2 linked regions of the Saccharomyces cerevisiae S288C genome follow. Each later gene encodes a partner of the first gene's protein in a complex. Each region holds a gene or a part of one and is shown on either strand. Other genes may lie near its edges.

Region 1 (3,764 bases):
GGCAGCATTTTTGGCTTGAGAGGGAATAAATTTTTCAATTGTATGTCCGTTGGCAGTATTTTTTTACTATCCAATTTTTCAATCACTGTCAAATCATATTTCCCTAAGCTGCCACCATGATTTCTTTTTTCGTATTCCGCCAAAGTAATGACACTATTACCACCGTTTTCGATTCTCTTTTGTAAGCTTCGGACAGAATTCAATGACAAAAGATTTGCTGGAAGTAAGATTTCGTCTAGAGATTCAATTTCAGATAATTTGTTTTCTAATCTTCGGTAAGCGTCCACATATAGAGCTAACGCCTCCATATATCTGCCTTTCGACTGATATAAAACACTCAGGCAGCCCGTATTCAGAAATAACTGGAAATACAGCTTGCATAAGTCTAATTGGCTTAGCAGCTCGTCATCTGAATACACACCAGGTAGCTCCATTATGTCCGATAAATATTTTGTCAAATTCTTCACAATACGTTCCATTTCTTTATATTTGGTTAACTTCGATGGTAATGAAGTATTTAATTTCAGCCATTGATTCCATAAATGAGTAAACAAATCTCTTTCACGAGATATAGAGGTCAAAAGAATATTATATTTAATGTAGGCTAAAATTATCTGATTGTTTTCAGAACTATTTTCAACCATCTCGTCTATGTCATCTTGATCGTCGTGGTTTGCGATGAAAAATTCATGACGGTCTAAAGCTTTCTCCAATTTTGATAGCCTCTGTGTATATTGAGTAATCTGAGTTGGGTGGATAGATAGACCTTGTTCCAAAAATTGAGCAACTTCAGCATCGATTATCTTGGCGTTGAAAGATCTCCAGTTTATGTTAGTGGTAACCTTTTGATCTTCAGTTGAGGTTGTAATTTTTTTCATATTGAATCCATTGTCTAATAACAATTTCACAAGCTCATCGTCCTTGTTCTCATCAGATTGAACTCTTTCCACGATAAAGTTATTTATTTCGGGCGTTGTAATTAAATTTCCCGCGTACTGCTTGAGAGAGTACTGGTATTTATTAACAATGTTATCTACAACTTCTTCAGCTAATAAGCTTAGATTCTTCAAGTGTTCCAATGCGGCGAAAACGAGGGCTAGGTTGTTCGAAATTTTGGCATTGTCCTTCCTCTTGAACCTTTTTCCATTAATTAGGTACTCTGAATGTACCAATTTAGCGAACGCTAAATATTGGGCACGAGTTATCCATTGCTGTTCATTTTGAGTGACGTTAACCAATTTATCAGCAGTCTTGCAGGCCTTCTTCAATCTTGTGGATAAAACCTTTTCTTCACTTTTCTTTAACTTTCCTCTTTGACGAGCTCTCAATTTCAAAGTTTCAGCCAGTGCCAAGTCCCTTTCAGCGTGTAGTAAAATCAAAACACCAATCAATTTAGTTTTATTATCATAATCCTCGGAGTTAATTTCGCCATACTTATTTTTACTTGAGTATTTCTTTGTATCCTTGGTGACCAAATGGCAACGGCTCCTCAAGTGTTGCAACTTTTTATTCAATTTCGCATGATACTTAGCGAAGTCTGAGTCTGTTTCTAAAAACTGTTCTGCACGATTACCATAGGTGGCAATGATTGGAGAATAGGCAACCATCTTTAGTTTCAAGCGTGGCTAGTTTTTGATTCAATATGGAAAAAAAGAAAATTACACTGTAATATAATACAATTGATCACTTTGATGCTCAAATAATTCAAATAACCTAGTCTCCAGCTGCTCGTTTATGCTAATATTGTTGGATTAACTCTAGCAAATATACTCCAAAAAAAATTTTCAGAACTTATCACGAACAACGATGTGGTAAAGACAACGAAATACTACGTAAATCATATTGGTCTGCTCGTTTATAAAAGCTTACTCCCAATCAAATCACTGCAATGGAATATGTCGTTTGGTTCGTTGTTGTAGTTTGTGGAATGCCAGAATCATCAGCTGTTTCTCTTCCAAAGCTTCCCTGAGATCGCTTCTAAAGGTTGTTTTGTAGATCCCATCGAACATGAAAAAATGACAGCAATGTAATTAGAACCAGAATTACAACGTAACAAGAAGAAGTAAACAAGGCAGTATTCGTATATTTGTATGGCGGGAAGTACATCCAGTTTGGTGATCTGTGCGATTGGTATATATGCTACTTTTTTGACGTGGGCATTAGTACAGGAGCCTTTGGCTACAAGAACCTGGCCAAACTCCATGGGAAAGTTTCAATTCCCTAATGTAATATCCCTCATACAAGCTTCTGTGGCAATGATGATGGGCTACCTGTACTTAAACTGGAAGAAGGTGGAATATCCGCCCAGAAAAATGATTAAAGATCATTGGAAACAATTGATGTTGATATCATTTACACAGAGTAGTTCAGGCCCGCTGGCTACAACTTCTTTAAAGCACGTGGATTATCTCACTTACATGTTAGCAAAGTCATGCAAGATGATCCCCGTGTTGTTGGTGCATTTGCTTTTGTATAGGACGCCCATAGCAAGCCAAAAAAAAGTTGTAGCTCTCTTGGTAAGTCTCGGTGTCACTATTTTCACTATAGGTGGCAACGATGGTAAAAAGTTGAAGAGATCCTTTAATGAGAGCGGAAATGATAACAAATTACAAGGGTTTGGACTACTTTTCTCTAGTTTATTCCTTGATGGATTGACCAACGCCACCCAAGATAAGCTACTAAAGGCCAATAAGGCCAAAGAAAAGGGAAAACAAACTTTGATAACAGGTGCACACTTGATGTTTACACTGAACCTCTTCGTGATATTGTGGAATATTTTGTATTTTATTGTGATCGACTGCAAACAATGGGATAATGCCGTTTCTGTATTGACGATGGACCCACAAGTGTGGGGCTATTTAATGCTTTATTCGTTCTGTGGCGCTATGGGACAATGCTTTATTTTCTATACTCTAGAACAATTTGGCTCTTTAGTTTTGATCATGATAACAGTCACCAGGAAAATGGTCTCGATGATTTTGAGTATTATTGTCTTCGGTAAGAGTGTACGTTTCCAGCAATGGGTGGGGATGTTTATAGTATTTGGTGGAATCACTTGGGAAGCACTCAACAAGAAGAAGGCTAATATACCGAAGGCAAAATCTGCGTAGATTAGTGAAGATCGCAACAAATAAAAGTTAATATTTATAAAATTTGTCTATACTATGTACTTCCTATTTTTTTGATGGACGAAGCAGTCTCTCTCTTAATTCAGGATCGTATGCATAAACATACAGACCACGCACGCCACGAGTTAAGAGGACATTAATGCTATTCATAATAATCTTTTGCTTAACGTCCTCTGCATTGTGAATGTTTTTCTTTTTGGTGAAACCGGCCCTATCGTCATACAGCTCTGGTCTTAGTTTGATGCAGTCATTAGCCGCATCATACCCAATGGAACGGCCCAAAATTACACCAGCATAATTCAGATCAAACCCTTGGATAGTATACACACTACCTACCTCATCAATCGTGTCGCAACGCTCACTCCAAGGCGTCACTTCACGTGGAGTATAGCGATCCCAGCGAACTTTGAAATTGTCACCACATTCAACGTAATAGTCTTTTCCGTCCAAGCGATAGGGAAAATCGTAAGTAGATAGCATCCTACATTGGCCGTATTGACGGTCTTTCTCCTTGATTGCCTCGTACATGGCGCCACAATCATCCCAAATTTTGAAATCAAAATTCTTAATTTTATCGTCAGCACAATCTGCATTGCCCTTAGATAGCACAGATTCAATTGGTGGGATTTTACCTGC
Region 2 (3,085 bases), on another chromosome or scaffold:
TGTCCTTTGGAGAGTATGGTTCATGATTGGTGATTTGTCAAGACCCATTGGTTCTTCTATCAAATATATGGCGTTCCAGTTTACCTGTCTATTAGCTATTCCTGCCTTCATCTATTTTCTCATTTTCAGCGTGCATATTAAGACATTAAACGTGAATGGTATTAGTAGTAGCTTTTTTCCCGCTGAGTTTAGAAAAACTTTAAAATACAACAACGTTATTAAAGAGACTGTGGCAGAAGTTGCAGTGGGTTCCGCTGTTTCACTGAATCATGTTGGAACGGCAGGTGGTTACTTGCATTCTCATCTTCACAATTATCCGGCTGGTTCCATGCAACAACAAGTTACTTTGTATCCTCACATCGACCAAAATAACAAATGGATTATTGAGCTGGCTGAACATCCAAATGAAAATGTCACAAGTTTCCAAAATTTAACCGACGGTACCATAATTAAATTAAGACAGCTTAAGAACGGCTGCAGGTTACACTCACATGACCACAAACCTCCAGTTTCTCAAAATGCGGATTGGCAAAAAGAGGTGTCATGTTATGGATACGAGGGCTTCGAAGGTGATATAAATGATGATTGGATAATTGAAATCGATAAAAAGAGATCAGAGCCGGGACCTGCCCAGGAACATATTAGGGCTATTGAAACCAAATTTAGGCTGAAGCATTATCTAACTGGTTGTTACTTATTTTCACATCCTGAAAAGCTACCTGAGTGGGGATTCGGGCAGCAGGAAGTTACGTGTGCATACTTTGCAAGGGAAGACTTAACTTCATGGTATATTGAAGAAAACGAAAACGAAATTTCTTTGCCAAATCCAGAGAAGGTTTCTTATAAGAAAATGAGCTTTTGGCAGAAGTTTGTTGCTATCCACAAGTTCATGTTCTACCTTAACAATTATATGGATACTAGTCATGCCTACTCATCTGAACCAAAGACTTGGCCTCTTATGTTGCGTGGTATTGATTTTTGGAATGAAAATGGCAGAGAGGTGTACTTTTTAGGTAACGCTGTTTTGTGGTGGTCTGTCACAGCATTTATTTGCACGTTCATCATTGGAGTGGCTGTTGAGCTTCTTGCTTGGAAATTAGGTGTGAATATTCTACGGGATAAGCACATCATAAATTTCCACTATCAGGTCTTTCAGTACTTATTAGGCTTTGCCGCCCACTATTTCCCTTACTTCTTTGTGGGGCAAAAGTTATTTTTGTACGATTATTTGCCGGCCTATTATTTTGGTATCCTAGCATTTGGTCATGCTTTAGACCTGATTTCAACCTATATTTCTAACAAAAGAAACAATACTGGATATATAGTGGTGGCTATTTTCATGGTTGTATGTTTCTATTTCTTCAGCGAGCATTCTCCACTTATTTATGCTACTGGATGGTCGAGTAACCTGTGTAAGAGGTCCAAGTGGTTAGGAAGCTGGGACTTTTATTGCAATTCACTATTACTATCCGATAGCCACTATGAATTAAACGCTGAATCATGATCCATCCACCCGTATTCAGATTGGACATTCGTTTAGCAAAAGATTTAAAAACTACATTTGAGCTAAACTGCGGGAAAGATCTACGTACATATGGAAAAGAACCAGATGTATATGAAAAAAGAGTTCATAACCGGTCACAATGCAACACTTTCCTATCTTGTTCTTTCGTTGAATTTCACTAAACAACTAACGAATACCAAAAAAATGATCCGTATTAAGTAATGTATATACATATATATTGTCAAATACAACAAGATATTTAATAAACAAAGAATAGATGAATTAGGATTGAACCGGTAAAAGGAAAGCTGTGAACATGGTATTTCTCTTATCGGGCTTTTCAAGATCACCACTGAGTGGCATTTTAAGCACATGAGGAGATGAACGTAGGCAGATCAAAACATTCAGCCGATGATAAAGACTACAACAGCTATTTGATTGTCTTTGCATAATCGCCCTAAATTGGAGGCTTCTACAAAACAACTAATTACATATTCTTACTTCCTCGCCCGTGCAAAAGGATAATATATCTCTCATTTGAAAAAATAGCCATACTTAACGTTAATGTTTAACTTACGGGTTGGCATACCTCTTCTTTAATACAAATCAAAAAACGTAGCTTTCTTACCACCCTAAAACAATGGCAAATACTGGCTGTTTATCACCAGGTGCATTTTTATCAAAGGTTCCAGAATTTTTCCAGACTGCGAATGAAAAACATATAACTGTGCGTCTAACGGCCAAAAGACTCATAGAACACGATCCTGTGGAAGGGAATCTTGAATTTGATTCTACCAACCATCCTGACTATGATGTATCTAAAAAGGCTTCTGAAATTTCAGTTAGCTCAAGATCTGACAGAGAATACCCACTATTAATCAGAATGTCTTATGGCTCGCATGACAAGAAAACAAAATGCTCAACAGTGGTAAAAGCAAGTGAGTTAGATCAATTTTGGCAAGAGTATTCATCTGTATTTAAGGGGGGCATGCAGAATTTGATCAAGAAGAAGAAAAAGAAGAGTAAGAACGGTACCATCAGTAAGACAGGAAAGAAAAACAAGGTAGCGAAGAAAAACTGATGCACGTGACACTTGAGTCAAAAGGCATGTGCGCCTCTTGTTATCTTTGGATGTGTAGATTAAAGGATGGCAACGTAGATATAAAAGATTAATTGCATAAAGTTGTGTAGATATAAATTTAACTAAACTTTAGAATAAACGTTTTGAGATGACTATTTTTGAAATTCCTTTCATTCGTCCAGGCGTTCCATTACAATATTTCCTGATGGATATATGCCGCTAACGTCAGATATTTTGGTAGATAAATCAAGCTCTCTTCTTGGTACCGGCGTGATCAATTTGAAGCTATACTGGTGCTGATAATTAGCAGGTTGGTATACGGGTAAAGTATCGTTTTCTGAGTTCAACATGTCATGCAACTGTAATTCTACGAAGGCATATATCTCCTCCGTTGGTAGAGATGCGTCAAACTTTCTCACTAATCTCTGCCCATTTTCTAGTCTGATCGCAACTTTGCTTGCATCTTTATCAGAAGAGGGTTCGGGTTTTAGTTGGCTTTT

What was found. The genes of interacting proteins can lie anywhere in the genome.
Region 2: SRP68 (region 1) and SRP14 share a complex: the UniProt entries of both Saccharomyces cerevisiae proteins name them as parts of the fungal signal recognition particle (SRP) complex.

What each region holds. Positions count from the first base shown.
Region 1 is NC_001148.4:86,360-90,123, reverse strand, and holds the start of SRP68 (signal recognition particle subunit SRP68), read right to left. Parts: upstream 1,608-3,764; coding exon 1-1,607. Other genes in the region: UDP-galactose transporter HUT1, read left to right, coding at 2,091-3,110; YPL245W (uncharacterized protein), read right to left, coding at 3,174-3,764. UniProt on the Saccharomyces cerevisiae protein: Component of the signal recognition particle (SRP) complex, a ribonucleoprotein complex that mediates the cotranslational targeting of secretory and membrane proteins to the endoplasmic reticulum (ER).
Region 2 is NC_001136.10:290,637-293,721, forward strand, and holds SRP14 (RNA-binding signal recognition particle subunit SRP14), read left to right. Parts: upstream 1-2,144; coding exon 2,145-2,585; downstream 2,586-3,085. Other genes in the region: putative dolichyl-phosphate-mannose-protein mannosyltransferase PMT5, read left to right, coding at 1-1,504; clathrin-mediated endocytosis regulator UBX3, read right to left, coding at 2,756-3,085. UniProt on the Saccharomyces cerevisiae protein: Component of the signal recognition particle (SRP) complex, a ribonucleoprotein complex that mediates the cotranslational targeting of secretory and membrane proteins to the endoplasmic reticulum (ER).